Anolis sagrei: one gene and its partner. The protein of the gene in region 1 purifies or fractionates together with the protein of each later gene. This does not show direct contact. Links are inferred from orthologs where the notes say so. Each region holds a gene or a part of one and is shown on either strand. Other genes may lie near its edges.

Region 1 (11,056 bases):
TGCATTCACAACAGACACCAAAACAGGCTACAGGATTGTAATGGGATCTAAAATCTACGTGGGGCTGCCTTTGAATACGGTTTGGAAACTTCAGCTAGTTCAACGGGCGGCAGCCAGATTACTAACTGGGGCGGCATACAGGGAGCATACCACCCCCCTGCTATGCCAGTTCCACTGGCTGCTGGTCCATCTCCGAGCCCAATTCAAAGTGCTGGTTTTGACCTATAAAGCTCTATACGGTTCTGGCCCAGCTTACTTGTCCAAACACATCCATACCTACATCCCACCTCATAATCTACATCATACAGGGAGGCCCTGCTCTCGCTCCCATCAACAGCACAGATGCGTCTGGCGGGGATGAGAGACAGGGCCTTCTCGGCTGTGGCCCCCCACCTATGGAACACACTCCCAAATGAGGTAAGATCTGCTCCCTCCCCCCTGGCTTTTAGAAAAAATTAAAATCATAGTTTTGGAACCAGACCTCTGGGCAGTAGAAGTAAATGTATGCAGCATTTCAGAAAGACAATGACTGGAACAGCGATTCGAAAGACGAGACTGCTTTATTGTTTTAATTATTGTTTTATTGCTCATTGATGTACTGTTTTTAACTTGATTTATGTCTAATTTTGTAGTATATAATTGTAATTGCTTGTACTGGCATTGAATTTTGCCATTACTTATGAGTCCCCCTCGGGGTGAGAAAAGCGGTATATAAATAAATAAATAAATAAATCCACTCGCCTTACAAGTCTCCAAATGAGTGCACTTAGAGCTATGTTTCTTGCACACCAACATACAACAGAGATGCCCAAATGCACTTTGAGTGACAGGTGCAGAAATGTCCTCTTATGAACATTTGATGATACCTGTGTTTACACTATGATCTTTCTGCCACTGCCAGTCTGAATGGCTCCATTATTATTATTATTATTATTATTATTACTATTATTATTATTTAGTTTATTGATACCCAGCTTTTTCTCTCCACAAGGAGACTCAAAGCAGCTTACATTAAAAGCCTTTCAATACAATACAAAATCTACAAATATATAAACAATAAACCAGAATTAAATATCATTGGTATTACAAAAATTCAGTTGAAATCCATAAAAACCAATTCAGAACTAAAAACCCTGTTCCTATCGACCCCACCTCTTAAAGCCAAGCCCCTTTCTTTCCCTCTTGCATTGTCTCCATTGTGTGCAGTAGATTCCCACTCCTCCTTCTCCAAACCCTGATTCATCTCAAGCTCTCAATTTGAGCAGAAGGAATCCAGGCTGCAATCTGGTGCATAGTTACCAGAGATTAAGCACACATTGACCAGATTTGGAGATTTATTTCCAAGCAGACAAGCGCAAGACGGCCCTATTGGAATCTGAACCTTTGGAATGACCGTTTTTGGCTTTCCTGTGCCACCATTCACACATTCATCAGAGTCAGGCACTGAATCCATTGCATTGGCAGAGGGGGCAAGAAAAAGGGTGGCGGAAGGAAATCATTCGTTTTGACAAAGCACACAATGCCATCCAGGGCCCCAGGTGAGATGGCAGTATGTGGTTATGTGTTTGTATATGTGCCATCAAGTCGCCTGTTGACTTATGACAACCTCTGAGGATGCTTGCCATAGATGCAGGCGAAACGTCAGGAGAGAATGCCTCTAGACCATGGCCATTTAGCCCGAAAAAACTTACAACAACCCAGTGATTCCGGCCATGAAAGCCTTCAACAATACCTATACATTTAAGTTTTTTTTAAGACAGGGAACCATCAGGGGTGGTTTTGCCAGTGGTTTCCTCTGAAATAAGATCTACAACACATGGAATTCATTGGTGCTCCCCATCCAAGTACTAACCAGGGCTGACCCTGCTTAGCCTCCAAGATCAGACAGAATCTGATGCCCTGGATTTGCCTATATAGGTGCTATTTTAGGCCCTTTCCACACAACTGTGTAAAATTAACATTAAACTGGATTATGAGGCAATGTAGACTCAGATAATCCAGTTCAAAGAAGATATTGTGGATTATCTGTCTTGAAAATCTGGGTTATATGGCTGTGCGGAAGGGGCCTATGAGGAAAGAAACAGCATAATCACCTGAGTGTGCCTTGCTGAGATAACACTGGGGAAATCAAGTTGAAAACACACACTTAGGCCGGATCTACACTGCCATATTATCCAGATTATCAGCACTGAACTGGATTATATTAGTCTACACTGCCATATAATCCAGTTCAAATCAGATAATCTGGATTTTATATTGCAGTGTAGATGGGGTAAATAAATAGGCACCCAATCTCCCACCCTGGACATTCCACAGATATATAAATCCAAATTTCGTAGTTTCCAACACACCTCACAACCTATGAGGATGCCTGCCATAGATGCAAAGGTTTCACTAATTTTGGAGGATTCCAGATTTCCAGATAAGCATGCTCAATTTGTATTGTCAAAGGCTTTCATGGCCGGAATCACTGGGTTGTTATAGGTTTCTTCGGGCTATATGGCCATGTTCTAGAGGCATTCTCTCCTGAAGTTTCGCCTGCATCTATGGCAAGCATCCTCAGAGGTTGCTTGCCATAGATGCAGGCGAAACGTCAGGAGAGAATGCCTCTAGAACATGGCCATATAGCCTGAAAAAATCTGCAACAATCCATTCCACAGATACATAAATCCAAATGTCATAGTTTCCAGCAGACCTCGCAACCTATGAGGATGCCTGCCATAGATGCAGGCGAAATGTCAGGAGAGAATGCTTCTAGAATAAGGAAAAATTCCCAGCAATATGTCCTCAGAATGCACTTTACTATTAGATTGGGTTGGACTGCATTCCCCTCATTTCTTTTAAAACCCTTATACCAGATATATCCTACCTTGTTCATGCCCAGTGTTTATTTTTTAAATTTTAAACTATTACATAGGTTTTTAAATCCTTGTGTGTTATTTTTTATTGTTTATATGTGATTTATATAATGTGTCCAGTTGGAATGTGTCCAGAGGAGGGCAACAAAAATGATCAAGGGTCTGGAGAACAAGCCCTATGAGGAGCGGCTTAAGGAGCTGGGCATGTTTAGCCTGAAGAAGAGAAGGCTGAGAGGAGATATGATAGCCATGTATAAATATGTGAGAGGAAGCCACAGGGAGGAGGGAGAAAGCTTGCTTTCTGCTTCCTTGGAGACTAGGACACAAAACAATGGCTTTAAACTACAAGAGAGGAGATTCCATCTGAACATGAGGAAGAACTTCCTGACTGTGAGAGCCGTTCAGCAGTGGAACTCTCTGCCCCGGAGTGTGGTGGAGGCTCCTTCTTTGGAAGCTTTTAAACAGAGGCTGGATGGCCATCTGCCAGGGGTGATTTGAATGCAATATTCCTGCTTCTTGGCAGGGGGTTGGACTGGATGGCCCATGAGGTCTCTTCCAACTCTTTGATTCTATGATTCTATATTAACCGTATTGTATTGTATTGTTTTTGTTTATTGCTTTCTTGTTTTTATTGATGTGTTGTTGGGCTTGGCCTCATATAAGCCGCTCCGAGTCCCTTGGGGAGATGGTGGTGGGGTATAAATAAAGTTATTATTATTAATATTATTATTATTACATGGCCATACAGCGCGAAAAACCTACAACAACCCAGTGATTTTGGCCATGAAAGCCTTCGACAATACATTTACACCCAATCTTATCTGATCTTGGAAGTCAAGCCATACTTGGGCTGGAGATCATCAACATAGACCAGAGAAAGGAGCTGGAGAATCCGCCTTTGAGGATAAATGTTGGGAAAAGTCAAGGAGTTGCCACAAATGGACAAGCAAGTTGAACACACACATTATACACACCCTAAAATACCCAAAAGGTCCCAGATCCTGCCTGATCTTGGAAGCTAAGCAGGGCCAGCCTTGGCTGGTACTTGGATGGGAGACCACCAACCCAGACCAGGGAGGATGTAGCAAAAAAATACCTGCTATGAATACAGAAGTGACTTGAAGGCACATGCATAAAGAGAAAGGAAGGAAGGAAGGAAGGAAGGAAGGAAGGAAGACATGTGCCCCCTCCCACTAAATGTACTGCTGCAACCAATGTATACAAAGAGAGAGAGCTTGAGAGCTCAAGTTCAAAGGCAATGCCCAACCCAGGGGCTTTGCTTGCCTGCAGCAGGACCTGATCCACTCACCAGCTGGGAGATCTGCCAAAGGAAAGCAGGAGGGAGGCGGCAGTTTAGGGCAACCGAAAAGCAGGCCACCTCCTCCCCGCGCCCCTTCCCCAGCTCGCCTTGGGGTGGGGGGGGCGTGTCACCTCCTTACCTGGAGACCTCGCTCCCCCCTCTCTCGCGCGGGGACTTGGTTCCGCCCAGGGCGCCGCCTGATGCTGTCACTGGAACAACCGGGTGGAAGCTGGGCGAGACCATTCCGCTCGAAAGGGGCGTGGCTTTGAAAAGTGGGCGAGACCATTGAAGAGACAGACAGAAAGCGGTCAGTATGTGAAAGGAGGAGGAGGGGGTTGGATGAGACCATTTGCCTTGAAGAGGGGCGTCCAGCCACATATTTTGTAAACGCGTGTTGGAGCAGCTGTTGGTGCCCCTTTCTGCAACGCCATGTGATGCAGTTTGGATTTGTGTTGTATGATCAATGTAAACCTATATAATGCAGTCTATTATATGGGTCCAAACTAATCACATAATGCAGATTCAAACTGCATTATGGGGCAGTGTAGATGGGACCTGAGTCAGAGTAAATGAAGACCATAATATTTATTTATTTATTTATTTATTTAAAAGTTTTGCATACCGGCCTTCTCACCTCTCTTGATATTTCCAACCATAATATCACATACAGTCAATAAAACATAATAATACATATTACAGTAAAACATTAAAACAGCAATTACAATCAATAACTATAATGGTCAGTCGTCACACTAAAATCGTTGCTCATCATCCTCCATCCATATCTCAGGGTGTTGGCTCACTCGTCAAATGCCTGTCTCCATAACCAAGTCTTCACCTGTTTCCTAAATGTCAGGATAGACGGGGTGGTTCTGATCTCCAGTGGGAGAGAGTTCCAGAGTCGAGGGGCCACCACCGAGAAGGCCCTGTCCCTCGTCCCCACCAGACACGCTTGCGAGGCCGGTGGGACTGAAAGCAGGGCCTCTCCAGACGATCTTAATAATCTTGATGGTTCGTAAGGGAGAATATGTTCGGAGAGGTAAATAGGGCCGGAGTCGTTTAGGGCTTTGTAGGTCAAAACCAGCACTTTGAATTGTGCTCGGAAGCTATTCGGCAGCCAGTGGAGCTGGCGTAACAGAGGGGTTGATTGCTCCCTGTACCCAGCACCCGTTAGTAGTCTGGCTGCCGAGCGTTGGACTAGCTGCAGCTTCCGGGCAGTCTTCAGAGGCAACCCCACGTAGTGAGCGTTGCAGTAGTCTAAACGGGATGTAAACAAAGCGTGGACCACCGTGGCCAAGTCAGACTTCCCAAGGTACGGGCGCAGCTGACGCACAAGTTTTAATTGTGCAAAAGCTCCCCTGACCACCGGCGAAATCTGGGGCTCCAGGCTCAGCGATGCATCTAGAAGAACTCCCAAACTGCGAACCTGTGCCTTCAGGGGGAGTGTGACCCCATCCAGCACAGACTGTAACCCTATACCTTGTTCGGCCTTTCGACTGACCAGGAGTACCTCTGTCTTGTCTGGATTAAGTTTCAATCTGTTGTCCCTCATCCAGTCCGTTACAGCGGCCAAGCACCGGTTCAGGACTTGGACAGCCTCCTTAGTAGAAGGTGGAAAGGAGTGACAGAGTTGGACATCATCTGCATACAGATGACACCGTACCCCGAAACTTCGGATGATCTCTCCCAACGGCTTCATGTATATGTTAAACAACATAGGGGACAATATTGAGCCCTGCGGGACTCCACAGTGCAATGGCCGAGGAGTCGAGCAGGAGTCCCCTAGTGACACCTTCTGGGAGCGACCCTCGAGAAAGGACCGGAGCCACTGCAAGGCAGTACCCCCAAGACCCATTCCTGCGAGGCGTCCCAGAGGGATACCGTGGTCGATGGTATCGAAGGCCGAAGAGAGGTCCAGTAGAACCAACAGGGACACACTCCCCCTGTCCAGTTCCTGGCGAAGATCATCCACTAAGGCGACCATGTCCCGGCCTAAAGCCAGACTGCGCTGGATCTAGATAGTCCATGTCTACCAGGAACTCCTGGAGTTGCGAGGCCACCACACGTTCCAGGACTTTGCCCAAATAGGGGAGATTGGAAACTGGCCGAAAGTTGATGAATTGAGTGGGGTCCAGTGATGGTTTTTTTCAACAGCGGTTTAATAACAGCTTGTTTTAAGCTGGCTGGAATATTGCCTTCCCGAAGGGAGGCATTAACCACCACCTTTACCTGCTCTGCCAAACCCCCTCTGGCTTCTTTTACCAGCCAGGAAGAGCAGGGGTCTAGGATGCATGTGGTGGGCCTCGCCTCCCCAAGAACCCTGATGACCTCGTCGAGTTGAACAGATGGAAAGGAATCCAACAAAACTGGACAAGCAGATGCTTGTGTTACATCCTCAGAGACTGCCGTTAATGTGGTGTCAAAGCCCAAATGGATCAAAGCGACTTTGTCCGCAAAGTACTGAGCAGAGGCTTCACAGCGAGCTGCCGAGTCGTCAGGGGACCCATCTCGCAAGGTGGGATTCAACAACCCTCTAATAATAATAATAATAATAATAATAATACTTTATTTGTACCCCGCTACCATCTCCCCAAGGGACTCGGTGCGGCTTACATGAGGCCAAGCCCACAGCACATCAGTAAACAGAACATCAATAAAAGAAAACATCAATAAACAATCAATGCAATATAAATCATAATCACATAAACAATACAGACAATAAGCAATCAACAGTAACATATAAACATTTAAAACCAAAGGCCGGGCCAAATGTGATAGATTAAAATTAAAAAAACAGTGCTGATGTGAACCAGGTAGGGTATAATTGGGATAGGATTTTTAGAGAGAATGAGAGAGTGCAGTCAATCCTGAAGCAGTAGTAAAGTGCATTTTGAGGACATAATGCTGAGAGTTTTCCTTATTCTGGGAAGGCACACTGGAACAACCACGTTTTCAAGCTCCTCCTAAAGACTGCCATAGTTGGGGCATGTCTGATGTCTCTGGGAAGTGAGTTCCAGAGTCGGGGGGCCACCACCGAGAAGGCCCTCTCCCTCGTCCCCACCAATCGCGCCTGCGAAAGAGGCTGGAGCATGAGCAGGGCCTCTCTAGATGATCGAAGAGATCGTGTAGGTTCATATACAGAAATGCAGTCACGCAGGTAGGCGTGTCCCAAACCGTTCAGGGCTTTGTAGGTAAGATCCTGCACCTTGAATTGGGTTCGGAAAATGAAAGGCAGCCAGCTTTCATTGGAGCTCCTTAAACAGGAGGGTTGACCGCTCCCTGTAAAGAGCACCAGTTAGTAATCTGGCTGCTGCCCGTTGTACCAATTGGAATTTCCGGGCCATTTTCAAGGGCAGCCCCACGTAGAGTGCATTACAGTAGTCCAATCTGAAGGTGACTAAGGCATGGACCACCCTGGCAAGATCCACCTTCACGAGGTACTGTCGCAGCTGGCGCACAAGTCTTAATTGTGCAAAGGCGGCCACCGCTGACGCCTGAGCTTCAAGCATGAGTGATGAGTCCAGGAGGACACCCAGACTGCGGACCTGCGATTTCAAGGGGAGTGTAACCCCATCCAGCACAGGTTGCCACCCTATACCCCGATCCGGTTTACGATCGGCCAGGAGGACCTCTGTCTTGTCGGGATTGATCCTCAACTTGTTCCTCCTCATCCAGCCAGCCACAGCAGTCAGGCACTCATCAAGCACCCGAGGGGCTTCCTTGGAGTTAGGTGGAAAAGAATAGTAGAGTTGTGTGTCATCTGAATAGAGATGGCACCCAACTCCAAAACTCCGGAGGACCTCTCCCAGCGGTTTCATGTAGATGTTGAAAAGCATGGGAGACAGAATGGAGCCTTGCGGGAGCCCACAGGTCAAAGGCCAGGGGTCCAAGCAGGCATCTCCCAGCTTCACCATCTGGGATCGACCCTCCAGGAAGGATCGGAGCCACGACAAAACCGTGTCCCTGAGACCCATCCCAGAGAGACGTCCCAGAAGGATACCATGATTGATGGTATTGAAAGCCGCTGAGATATCCAAGAGAACCAACAGGGTCACATTCCCCCTGTCCAGCTCCCTGCGGAGGTCATCCACCAAGGCGACCAAAGCCTCTCGGTGCCATGACCAGGCCTGAAGCCAGACTGTGACTGATCCAGATAGCTGATGTCATCCAGGAAACACTGGAGCTGAGAGGCGACCACCTGTTCCAACACCTTTCCCAAGAAAGGGAGGTTGGAGATTGGTCTATAATTGTTGGCCTGATAAGTGTATCATGTCCAAATTTGGTGTCAATTCGCCCAGTGGTTTTTGAGTTATGTTAATCCCACAAACGAACATTATATTTTTATTTATATAGATATATATGATTTATTGCTTATCTTATGTAGATCCAAAGGTTTCTCGGTATGTTTGCACAACACAGCTACACACTGCAGGCAGCACACAGACGTGTCACAACACACAGTTCGGAAAGCTCTCATTTAGAGAGTTACCCCCGCTGGGCTTATGCCACAATAAATGTGTCTTTAAGATTAATTTTTTTGGCTGTCGCTGCACCTCTAGTAAATCTATCAATCCCTTCACCCGAAACACTGGAGTAAAAGCAACATCTATCTTCCTTACAGGGTTGTTGTAAGGCAACATCGTCTTGCATTCAGTATACACAAATGTAGAGTCACTCCCAGGTTTCTTCTCAGAATATTGTAGCACTCCCCAAATGAGGCAGCTAGAATTATTTGTTAAGCAATACAAAAATGAATTATTCATATACACTCATGTATAAGTCTAGTTCATGTATAAGTCAAAGGCAGGTTTAAGGGCCAAAATGATGGATTTTAATATGACCCATAGATACGTTGAGGGTCATTCAGAGACGGGTGAGCACCAATGCCATCTCAGGGATCCAGCTGCCCAAGGACATTTCCCTACCCTAGCATTCAAAAAGGCCATTCACCTTTCTACTGGCTGGCACAACCTGGGGATCACAACCAGATACAGTGAAGACATCTTCCCTTGCGCTGTGCTACTCTGCTGCTGAGTATGCATGCCCAGTGTGGAACACATCTCACCACGCTAAAACAGTGGATGTAGCTCTTAATGAGACCTGCCGCATTATCACAGGGTGTCTGCACCCTACACCACTGGAGAAATTACACTGCTTAGCCATTATTGCACCACCTGACATCCGCCGGGAAGTAGCAGCCAATAGTGAAAGGACCAAGGCAGAGACATCTCCAGCTCATCCCCTGTTTGGGTATCAGCCAGCACGTCAACGACTTAAATCTAGAAATAGTTTTCTAAGATCTACAGAGACACTCGCTGGAACACCTCAGCAAGTGAGAGTCCAAAAGTGGCAGGCTCAAACACAGAACCTCAACCAATGGCTGACACCAAATGAGACTCCCCCCTGGGCACACAGAAGACTGGGCAACTTGGAAGGCGCTGAACAGACTGCGCTCTGGCACCACAAGATGCAGAGCCAACCTTCAGAAATGTGGCTACAAAGTGGAATCCTTGACATGCGAGAGTGGAGAGGAGCAAACCACTGACTACCTGCTGCAATGCAACCTGAGCCCTGCCACATGTACAATGGAGGACCTTCTTGCAGCAACACCAGAAGCACTCCAAGTGGCCAGATACTGGTCAAAGGACATTTAATCAGCTACCAAACTCACAAATGTTGTATTTTGTCTGTTTGTTTGCTTTGTTCTGTTAGAAATGTAATATAATTGGCTGGTTGCCCTGACACGACAAATAAATAAATCTCTCTACTCAAAGAAGAAGATTGTTCTCATTTAAAATAAGCTAAGGTACAGTTAAGTTAAGGTACTGACCTTGAAGGAGCTGGGAGTGGTGACGGCCGACAGGGAGCTCTGGCGTGGGCTGGTCCATGAGGTCATGAAGAGTCGGAGACAACTGAACAAATGAACAACAAACAACAAGGTACAGTAAATAATAAAGGAACTGACCCCTTTTCTGAATGGCAAAAAGTGAGCATTTAGTTCTGGGGGAACCTAAAAGAAGCACAAACTCTCTTGTCTAACCTTAAAAGCCATTACCCCTGCCATCATTTTCCTGCTCAGGAATGCAAAAAAGCCACAAGTGACACTGAGGAGGAGAGAGTAGTGGATAAGTCAACCCAGGTTTTGGGGTTGATTTTTTGATTTAAAAAAAATCTCTGGACAGTACTTTACTGCTATTGTGAAGAGTAAAATAATCATATTGAGAAAGGTGCTAGTATGAATACAAGTGTGTAGGCAAGGTGGCGAAGAGTAAGACACACAGCAACCTTGTTATATGCCTCAAGGAGGTGGTAAGAATAGCTCTCTAACAGGTCCCACATATTTTAAAAAATAACGCAGATCTGTGAATTGGGTGGAAGTCTGAGAAAAAGTGTGGGAAGACCAAGATGCTACTGAAAAATGACAGAGGCGGACCTCAAACTATGGATATCTATGCTGCAGAATTAATACACTTGGATACCACTTTAACTGTTGCATCCTTTGGGCACATCTTGTCTCATGATATGCTGTTGTGGGATGCTTTCGACTATTTTCCTATAGCCAAGGAAATAGGGAATGTAAGACCTTCAGCTTTGAGTTTCCTTCAGGAGAGATAAAGCAGGATAATAATAATAATAATAATAATAATAATAATAATAATAATAATATAGATTTGTTTATTGATTAATCTTCTGATCACATCAACAGGAAAATACAAAATACAAGCATACAAAGACACAAGAAACACAAATTCATATCCCAACACTCCTGTAGTAATGTAGTAATCACTAGGTTCTTGTGGGTTTTTTCGGGCTATAGAGCCATGTTCTAGAGGCATTTCTCCTGACGTTTCGCCTGCATCTATGGCAAGCGTCCTCAGAGGTTGTGAGGTCTGTAGTA
Region 2 (11,345 bases), about 28 Mb from region 1:
ACACAATGCAACTGATTTATTGTTATTATGTTTATTTATATCCCACTTTTTCTTTCCATACAGAGACTCAAAGTGGCTCATAATAATAAGCATTACAACGACAGACCCAAAGTATGATACGCACCTTTATCAATATGGACTTCAAGAATTTTCTTCTCTCTAACAATCTTCCTTCCATTGCAGCTTTTACATCTATCCTTGGGGCTGATGCGCTCTCCATGGCCCTGGCATTCCATACACACTGACTGGATTTGCTGAACCATTCCAGGCCCAATTTGGTGAATCCTTACTTGCATGCCTGTTCCTCTGCAATTAAGGCAGTATTCCACTGCACCTTTCTTGCCACCTCGGCCTATAGAAGAACAAAGGGGAATAAGAGTAGAAAATACCATGTATGTCTCCTCCCTCACTCACTTGCTACATATATTTGTCATGGATGTCAATTTTTACTGAATAAACTGAAATTTTTGTACCAACATACCTTCGCATTTGTCACAAATCACATTCTTTTGTAGAGCGAGTTTTCGTGTTGCTCCATTGTATAGGTCTTCTAGAGTTACTGACAACTGATGAACAACATTTTTACCTGTAAGGAAAAGCAGGCATTTGATGAGAAATGCTCCAAAGAGTTTCATTATTGAGGTTTCAGATCCATGCTTCTGATTCTAATTTTCTCCACTGTGGGAAGTCACTATAAGGACAAACATTGACTGGTATTGCAGCTACACTTAAAAAGGTCAACAGGTTCTCCCACAAAGCAATGTGAGTGAGAGTCGTAGTGCTTGATCCTTACTGAGAGGGAAGGTAGAACCAACAAACAAACTAAGGATGCAATTCTCTGCCTATTCTACACATATGGAAAGCATAACTGAAACTCAGTGGAATACTTCCAAGTAAACTTACATCAATTAACAATCCATGCAGAATGCAACATATAATTATTTTGTAGTCCTGCCTATATCACTTGAGGTACTTTATAAATGAAAACAGACATTATCCTAACATTAAGTTTATCTTTTGCTTATTAGCCAAGGCTACTGTGAACTACTTCAACTAAAGTTGTACATTACCTCTCCTCTCTCGTTGCATTCGCCCGCCTCCTCCAAAGAACATATCAAATATATCCATGGGTGACCCAAAGCTGCTTCCAGTACCACCCTCTTTAATGGCTTGTTCACCACCTTTATCATACAAATCTCTTTTCTTGATGTCAGAAAGAACTTCATAAGCTTGAGAAATCTGTTTGAACTACAAGAACAAAAAGAACAAAAATCAGAGAAATCTTATTTTACAGAAAGTAATTTATATCACTATAATATTTACTTTGTACCACTATAACTGCTTAAGGGCAAGGAAGTGGCTAGAGATTAATAGCATACCATTTAGCAAAATTAGTTCTCGGCGTTAAGTCGTCTATGCTAAAACCCAACCTGCAATTTTTGAAGTAAAAATCATAGAGTGCAGCTGCACCATGACATTTACAAAAGGTGAAAACAAATTCAGGATCCTGCTTTTCCCCAGGTGTTCCCATGTTAACAGGGAAATTCTGAAGTGGAGATATGAATACCATTAAAATTTGAAAAGAGCTATTAAGCTTCTCAGGTTCTGAAAATAATATTGATATATTAGAATCCAACCCATTCACAAAAATGAGGCAAAGTCCGAACGAGACAATACAGAACCATCTACTAAGCTAATAAGCAAAATATTTAGGAGGGAGTGAGCTTGCACACTTGCCTTTTCACCTTCATTTGGATTCTTATCAGGGTGGTATTTCAATGCCAGTTTCCTATAAGCTTTTTTCAGTTCCTCTTGGGACGCATTGGGTTTTACCCCAAGCACATCATAGTATGTAGTCTCCTTCACCATGGTGCAATAGATACCTGGAAGGGGAAAGATGAAAATTAAAACTAGAAAAGGAATGCAAAATTTATGATGTCATGAGTTCAGCCCACTTCCTTATTTCCTCAAAGACTGTGCCCATAAAGAGACCTCTGGTGAGACCAAACTTGTATCTTCTTGCGCTGCCTCACTCTGCGCACCAATTACTCTGGATTATCTACACCAGAGCTTTCCAAACTGTTTAGTATGTCGGCTGTCATGTGTAGATGTGTAACGCAAACATAATGAGAAATGACATACAGTAAATCTTGGAAATGTATGTCATCTTACAAATCATATATACATTTTTAAAAATATACAAACAGAAGCTTTTCATGTGATATGTTGTGTCCCCCATACTTTCCTTTATTACAATATATGTGTGTGTCTTTATCTCCTTTTTTTTAACATTTTAATTGATTTTCAGAAAGAAACAAAAGCATACTACACCATAAAATACAAAGAAAACACAACACACAAAACAATCAATCATAACATAATCCAAATAAACTATAACTACAAAAACAATACTTCCTTCCTTTCGAGGTTGAAATTTTTCCTAAGTCTTCTTGCATCCCATTTAGGAAAAAGCAGAATCTTAAATCTTAAATAGCCAATACTTATTTTTATTCACAGAGATGACTTATTCCTTCAAGTATTTATCTACATTCTCCCACTTTTCAGCACCTTGCTTAGAGACCCCCCCCCCCTTCATTGTTCTAGTAAATTTGTCATTTCCATGGCTTCTCTTAATTTCAGTTGTCAATCATAGATTAGAAGGTACTCCCGTTATTTTCCACTTTTTTGCCAATACTATCCTTGCTGTTGTAATCACATACATGATGATAATCCTTACAGGTTTATTCATTTGTATTGTTATTATTTTATTATTATTATAGCCCGCTTTATCTCCACAAAGGGGATTCAAAGTGGCTTGAGCAGTAGTATTAGTACACAATTTAAAATGTACAAATATATACACATTAAAACAAAAACACAGGTAGCACTAAAAAAATACATTAAAATCCATAAAAACATATTCAAAGTTTAAAACCACAGCACCCCATAACTAAATCTTAAAAACCTTCTTTAAAAACCTGCCTGATTCAGAAGGTTTTAGCCTGCCACCAGAAGGACAGCAGGGAGGGGACCATTCTGGCTTCCCTAGGAAGAAGGGAGATCCAGAGTATTGAAGCACCCACCTACGGAGAAGGAAGGCCCACTCTCTCTGAGCTTCAGATGGAGGTGGGACTGAGGCCCCTTCCACACAGCTGAATAAAATCCCACATATATTCCCTGTTCTCAACTGGAATATATGGCAGCGTGGACTCAGATAACCCAATTCAAAGCACATATTGTGGGGTATTGTGCCTTGATAGTCTGGGTTATATAGCCATGTGGAAGGGCCCCGAGAGATGGGCCTCTCTTGAAGATCTCAAGGCTGGGGCAGATTCATACAAGGGTATGCAGCTGGCCAAATAGCCTGGACCTGAACTGTTTAGAGCTGTGGTTCTTAATCTGTGGGTTCCCAGGTGTTTTGGCCTACAACTCCCAGAAATCCTAACAGTTGGTAAACTAGCTGGGATTTCTGTGAGTTGTGGGCCAAAACACCTGAGGACCCACAGGTTGAGAACCACTGGTCTAGGGCTTTAAAGGTCTACATCTACCAGCACTTGCTGTTGTTGTCACATACATCAGGCATGGGAAACCTTTGGCCCTCCAGGTGTTTCAGACTTCAACCACCACCATTTCGAACAGCCATAAACTGCTAGGAATTTGGGAGTTGAAATACAGAACACCTGGAGGGCCAAAGATTGCCCATGCCTGCCATACATGATGATTCTCCTTGTAGGTTTATTGATTTGTACTCTTATCATGTTGAGAAGGTGCCTGTATTCTCTTCAACGGGATTGGTTTACCTCTAGTTAGCTATTAAAAACAGAACAACTGTGTTGCGAAATGATGCTGTGACTAAAGAAATGTTGGGAAAGCGGTGCTTCAGGCAAACCAAGTTTGCCCCTCATTGCTTCTCTTTCCAGCCCCACCTGATAATAGAGCCACTGGAGCCTCCGTGGAAAAAAACACCCCCTAACTCTTTTCTTGTGTCAAATAGCAATTAGAATAAGGGCCCTTCCACACAGCCATATGATCCAGAATACCAGTTCAAAGCAGATCTTGTGGGGTTTCCTGCCTTGATATCCTGGGTCCTGCAATACGGCTGTGTGGAAGGGCCCTGAGTCCACACTGCCATATATTCCAGTTCAAAGCAGACATTGTGAGGTTTCCTACCTTGATATCCTGGGTCCTGCAATATGGCTGCGTGGAAAGTACCCTGAGTCCACACTACCATATATTCCAATTCAAAGCAGAAAACGTGGGATTTTATTCAGCTGTGTGTGGAAGGCTCCCAACTTTACAAGGGGGGGGGGGTCTTCTTCCCCACAGACTGTTATGTAAAAGGGCCTCCCTCGCTCCATCACGTGACACAGAAGGGGCACCCACTGCAGTCCCATTTGCAGGGGTCCCTTGTGTGGAGGGCGCTGTCTCCCACTCCACGACTCCGCTTTCTTTCTCTCCCCCCCCCCTTCCCTCACCCACGAAGGCCCGACTTCCCTTCCCTTCTCCTTCCCTCCCTCCCGCCAAATCCCCTTCTCTGCCTTCTCTCAGAACCCGGAGTCAGCTGACCTAACCGTCGCGCGCTCCCCCCTCCCTCCCTCCCTCCCTCTCTCTCCCGCGCGCCCTCTCTTTGTGGAGAACTAGAGGAGGGGGGGGGAAGGTAGCTGAGGAGACCCCTCCCCCACCCCCAACCCCAACCCCACCCCCACCCCACCCGGCTTTTCCTTTGTCCCTCACTCACTCGCGCTTTCGACCCAAACGCAGGCTTACAATGAAAGCAGCCCTGTCTTCTCTTTCTCTATCTCTCTCTCTCTCTTCTAACAGCCGGCTCGAGCCTCCTCTCCTTCTTCCTTCTCCTTCTCGCGCTGACTTTTTCTGGAAAGTTCCGAGCCGGTCTCAGGCTAGGCTAGGCAGCATCCGGGGAGTTTCCTTTCCCTTTCAAGAAAGCCCCGCCCTCCTCTCCAGGCGCTGCTATTGGCCAGCTTTCTCGCAAACCGTGGCATACCCCCAATCATAAGCCTCCCTGGCCGTGACGTCGCCCGCCGGGGACTACAAATCCCGGCATGCCTCCTCTCCCCCGTGAATACCTTTCTTTGGCCCTGTCAGAAAGACTTCGACGTCCAGAATGCAACGCGCCTCACAAAGAAGTCTGGCTTCATTGCAGGTGGCGTGGTCTTATTAACAAGGGTAGTTTTACTCACCTTTCAGGCGAATCTAAGGGCTCTTCCATACAGCCATACAACATATTTATTTATTTACGACCAGCCGTTCCCTGCCACGCGTTGCTGTGGCCCACTCTGTATATATGTGTATATGTGATTTTGCACCTGCATTATAATTTTTTAATTTTTTTCCCTGTTTTATGTCTCTTCTGTGTTTTTCAGTGTTTTTTATGAGTATTGGTCACTTGTTGGCCTGATAAGTATATTGTGTCCAAATTTGGTGTCAATTCATCCAGTGATTTTTGAGTTATGTTAATCCCACAAACGAACATTACATTTTTATTTATATAGATATGTATATGCCGCCCTTCTCGCCCCGAAGGGGACTAAGAGCAGCTTGCTATATATTGTTGTTGTTGTTGTTCATTCGTTCAGTCGTCTCCGACTCTTCGTGACCTCATGGACCAGCCCACGCCAGAGGTCCCTGTCGGCCGTCACCACCCCCAGCTCCTTCAAGGTCAGTCCAGTCACTTCAAGGATGCCATCCATCCATCTTGCCCTTGGTCGGCCCCTCTTCCTTTTGCCTTCCACTTTCCCCAGCATAATTGTCTTCTCTAGGCTTTGCTGTCTCCTCATGATGTAGCCAAAATACTTCAACTTTGTCTCTAGTATCCTTCTCTCCAATGAGCAGTCGGGCTTTATTTCCTGGAGGATGGACTGGTTGGATCTTCTCACAGTCCAAGGCACTCTCAGAACTTTCCTCCAACACCACAGTTCAAAAGCATCGATCATCCTTCGCTCAGCCTTCCCGAAGGTCCAGCTCTCACATCCGTAGGTGACTACAGGGAATACCATGGCTTTGACTAGGCGGATCTTTGTTGCCAGTGTGATGTCTCTACTCTTTACTATTTTATCAAGATTGGACATTGCTCTCCTCCCAAGAAGTAAGTGTCTTCTGATTTCCTGGCCACAGTCTGCGTCTGCAGTAATCTGTCACGGCCTCCACATTTCCTCCCTCTATTTTCCAGTTGTCAATCATTCTTGTTGCCATAATCTTGTTGCAATATATATAGATATATATACACAATATATATATTATATTATTAGCATAGTACAATACCAGTATTATGGCCCCTGCCACACAACTATATAAAATCCACATTGAACTAGGTTATAGGGCAGTGTGGACTCAGGCCTCTTCCCCAGCAGAATAAAATCCCACATTATCTGCTTTGCACTGGGATATGTGGCAGTGTGGACTCCAGATAACCCACTAAAGCAGATATTGTGGGATTTTCTACCTTGATATTCTGGGTTATATGGCTGTGTGGAAGGGCCCCCAGAATATCAAAATCCCACAATAACTCCTTTGAACTGGGTTATCTGAGTCCACACTGCCATATAACCCACCCAGATCAAAGCAGACAATGTGGGATTTTATATAGCTGTATGCAAGGAGCCTAAGGTCCATACAATCCAGAATATCAACTCAGATGATCTACAATATCTGCTTTGAACTAAAATATCTGACACACTGTCATACACAATCATAGAGTTGGAAGAGACCTCATGGGCCATCCAGTCCAACCCCCTGCCAAGAAGCAGGAAAACTGCATTCAAAGCACCCACGACAGATGGCCATCCAGCCTCTGTTTAAAAAGCCTCCAAAGAAGGAGCCTCCACCACACAGAGAGTTCCACTGCTGAACGGCTCTCACAGTCAAGAAGTTCTTCCTAAATTTCAGATGGAATCTCCTTTCTTGTAGTTTGAAGCCATTGTTCCGCGACCTAGTCTCCATGGTAGCAGAAAACAAGCTTGCTCCCTCCTTCCTATGACCTCCGCTCACGTATTTATACATGGCTATCATGTCTCCTCTCAGCCTTCTCTTCTTCAGACTAAACATGCCCAGCTCTTTAAGCTGCTCCTTTAAGCCTGCTTGTTCTCCAGACCCTTGATCATTTAGTCACCCTCCTCTGGACACATTCCAGCTATATGTGTATTTTATACAACTATGTAGAATGAGCCTCAAATGTCTGCCGTTAAACGCCAAAATTCATTTTGGAGGCTCTTGCCTTTATTAGGCCAACCAGCAATATTTCCTACAATGTTGTTCATTCGTTCAGTCATTTCCAACTCTTCATGACCTCATGGACCATCCCACGCCAGAGCTCCCTGTCAGCCGTCACCACCCCCAGTTCCTTCAGAGTCAAGCCAGTCACTTCAAGGATGCCATCCATCCATCTTGCCCTTGGTCGGCCCCTCTTCTTTTTTCCTTCCATTTTCCCCAGCATCATTGTCTTCTCTAAGCTTTCCTGTCTCCTCATAATGTGGCCACAATACCTAAGAGTATTTTCTAATTTGGCATTTTCTTCCATACACACTACTCAGTGCATTTATATTCCAACTCATCCATTATCATAGTATAGTATTATTAATATTATATTTGTTTCTACCCAGCTTTATCTCTCCCAAAGGGGACTCAAAGTGGCTTGATATAAAAGCATTAGTACAGTACACAATTTCAAATATACAAATATTCAAATATTAAAACGGAATTAAATATAAACAGTATTAAAATTCACAATTAAAAACCATTCAGCATATTCAATAATTTTATTTAATAATTGTATTCAATACATAATATATTCCTAAGGCAGTAATATACTAATATTATATTCCCATAAACTAGCTTGGGTACCTGGCATTGCCTGGGTTATTTGAAAAAGTCAATTTTTAAGTTATACAAAGTGCATAAGGTTGTGGGTGAACTACAACTCACAGCATGCCAGGTTAACCCCGAAAATCTCCATCAGTACTTAACGTTTGTTATGTTGGGCAAGTTTACTCTAGATGCATCATCGGTGGGGTTCAGTGTGCTCTCTGGCTGCAGCATAAACTACACCTCCCACTATGGTGAGTCTGTACCCTCAAACCCCTCCAGTAGGTTGAGTTAGTCATGGGGGTTCTGTGTGTCAAGTTCAGGTCCATTATCGGTGGAGGTCACTATTTCTCTGGTTGTGGGTGAATGACATCTCCTAGAAAGGAAGGTCAGTTTCCCCCCCCCCCCCCCCCGCGCTCTCCCCACCTCTCCAATAATCAAATTTCGGCATATTGGGTATGTGCCAAGTTTGGTCCAGATCGATCAGTGTTTGGGTTCACTGTGCTCTCTGAATATAGGTGAACTACAACTCCCTCAAATCAATGTTAATTTTTCCCAAAGACCTCCAGTATTTTTATTTATTTTTTTGCTGGAAATGGGGGCTGTGTGTCAAGTTTTGTCCAATTCCATCTTTGGTGGAGTTCAGAGTGCTAACTGATTGCAGGTGAACTATAAATCCCGGTACCTACCAACTCCAAAATGGCTAGGCCAATTCCCCTCAAAACCCACCAGTATTCAAATCTGGGAATATAGGGTACGCATGCCAAGTCTGGTCCAGATCCAACTCCTATAAATCCCTCCAAAGACCTCCAGTATTTTTTGTTTGTTGTGAGGGTTCTGTGTGTCAAGTTAGTTCCAGGTCCGTCTGTAGTGGAGTTCAGAGTGCTCTTAGATTGCAGGTGAACTATACATCCCAGTACCTACAACTAATAACTCATGGTGAATTCTCCCCAGACCTCTCTAGTATGTTCAGTTGCTGATCAATTCCTCTGTTTGATGTGTGCCATAGAAAATAATAGGAAATAGTTAAGGGAGATGCAGTGGGCAGGGTCATGCAAATTCCATACCAATGGAGAGAGTAAGAAACACTGGGATGTCTCTGGAGGAAGAAACACGTAAACTCTAGAATGAAATTGTCCCCATATGAAAGCCTTCACTTGGGCGGTAGGCAGTATGGTGTTTGTGGAGGACATTGGCATGGCTCTTGTATATATTCACGGCACTCACTATAAACTGCAATGTAATTGAAGGGACGGCTTTTGGTGTCTCCTGAGTAGTGGGAGCTATAGCTGTTTGTGGAGTCAGGACTTGTCTGTGTAAGTGGACACCCCAGCCGAACACATATACATATTTTCACTTTTATTATGTGTATAGATAGAAGATAGAAGATGTTATTGTATTAACAGTGTGACTCAGGCCTAATTGGATCTGAGGTCCTTCTACACTGCCATTTAATCCAGTTTCCAAATCCAGATTATCTGCTTTGAATTTAATTGTATGGCAGTTAGTTCCAGGTCCATTGTTAGTGGAGTTCAGAGTGCTCTTAGATTGCAGGTGAACTATACATCCCAGTATCTACAACTCCTATCCAGCCTCAATTCTTTTGTTGAGTGAGATTCTGCACCGAAACAGACAAAACACTATTAATTCCAGTTGACCTGTGGCCAGTCTAGTTTTCATAACAAGCTCATTAAAATCTAGATCCGTTTGAATTGATCCTCATTGAATATTGCAAGTGCAGAACTCTTAAGCAGGTACAAGATTAGACTAGCCTAGATTAATTATTATTTTCAGTATTTCAGGAGCTGGGCTCCACTGTTCAGTTTAATTCAGAAAGGAAATAATATGTTGAAATAATTCTTAGTAAGATGAAAATTATCTCCATTTTGATTTATGCCAAAAGAGAGACGTCTGTAATAATTAAGTTGTTACAGATGGTCCCCAAATTGTGAACTAGATAGGTTCTGTAGTTTTGTTATTAAGTTGAATTTCTATGTAGGAACAGATACAGTACATTTTAGTGTAACTCCGGCTGTGTGTGTGTGTGTGTGTGTGTTAGCCTTGGATAGCATAGGGAAGGGTTAATACCCTTGTGCCCCTGTTCAGAGGATTTCATCTCACTTTCTGTCCCTGTGATAACTGAATTTTGAAACATTTGGCTTGTTATGGAAACAAGGATTGGTCATAAAGCTTCAGTTGAGACAATCCCCCCCCCCCCAATGATAACCCTTTCAGGAGTGAATTTCCCTTTCTAGGGGTAGATTTCTCATTTCCTGTTGTCTCACCCCCCGTTTGCACCTATGAGTCATTTGTTAGTTGAATGTTTGTAACTCGGGGACTGCCTGTATTGGTGTTTTAAATTGAATAAAGTTAACATATATTAAAATAGACAAGTTTGTCCATGATTTTATGCCTGCCCTCCTTCTATGTCTGCACTTTGAGCTCTGGAGCAAAGAAAGATTATGATCTTTTCCCCTTTGAGGATGCATCTACACTCTAGTATTAATTCAACTTGACCCCAATTTTGCTGACATGGCTCACTGTTGTGGGATCCTGGGATTTGTAGTTTGTGGATGGACAATACCCTTTGCAAAGAAGGCCAAAGACCTTATAACTATATAACCCCCTTGATTACATAGCAGTGACCCATGGCAATTAAAGTGGGGTCAAACTGCATTAAATCTACAATGTAGATGCATTCTCAATTGGGTTTCCACAAGGTTCTGTAGTTGTCCCTTGTTATTTTCTTCATGTATTATCTTTGAGTAATCTTATTTGTTCTTATGAGTTTTAGTAATGCTAATTTTTTCAGTTGTAGAACTTACTTCTGAGATTGAACATCAGCCTTTCTTTCATCCATCTCAGCATGGATGTTTCACTGCCACCTAAAACTTAATATGGCAAAGACAAAAAACTTGTTTTTCTCTCAAAGCCTTATTTGAGACATACAGATTAAATCACTGTTAATAATATCCCTGTATATTTTGGAAAAGAAGCATTTGGCCTTGGTTTTATTTTTTGCTTTTTCTTTGTCCTTTGTTCCTCAGATTGAGGCTGTAGGAAAGTCATGTGGCTTTTTTCTGTTATGATATTGCCAATCAGACCTTTTCTGCTTTATTCCTCTATAAAGGAATATTTGTATGTTTTGGTTATTTTTCAGGCAGTTTTTCAATATTTCGCTCCAGCAACTGAAGAGGAAGCAGGAAGCCATTTAGCTCAAGGTAAGCCTTGTCCTTTAGAGTGCATTAGAAAGCTGAGTGTTTTGTTTGTCTCTTGTTTAAAGGCTGGGTACTTGTTTATAAGGTGGTGAGTGTGTTGTTTAAGGCTTTGTGGCTGTTCTGGTGTCTAGCGACCCAATACCTCTGCTTGAGACCCTGTGCTTGAGACCCTGTGTTTGAGGGGGGTGGAACTTTGGCTTTGTGCTTGAGAGACAGAGCTTATGCACCACAATTAAAAAGAGATACTGACAAGTTGGAAGGTGTCCAGAGGATGGGAACTAAAATTATTAAAGGCCTGGAGACCATGAA

What was found.
Region 2: the proteins of HDAC6 (region 1) and DNAJA1 purify together in Homo sapiens (affinity purification with mass spectrometry; 4 studies listed by BioGRID and IntAct, with this or other methods). This does not show direct contact. The link is inferred for Anolis sagrei from reciprocal best matches to the Homo sapiens genes HDAC6 and DNAJA1.

What each region holds. Positions count from the first base shown.
Region 1 is NC_090022.1:178,368,107-178,379,162, forward strand, and holds the start of HDAC6 (histone deacetylase 6), read right to left. Parts: upstream 4,462-11,056; 5' UTR 4,445-4,461; coding exon 4,298-4,444; intron 4,261-4,297; exon of another isoform or gene 4,168-4,260; intron 1-4,167.
Region 2 is NC_090022.1:150,546,961-150,558,305, forward strand, and holds the start of DNAJA1 (dnaJ homolog subfamily A member 1), read right to left. Parts: upstream 4,934-11,345; 5' UTR 4,739-4,933; intron 1,884-4,738; 5' UTR 1,870-1,883; coding exon 1,738-1,869; intron 1,249-1,737; coding exon 1,071-1,248; intron 587-1,070; coding exon 482-586; intron 353-481; coding exon 125-352; intron 1-124.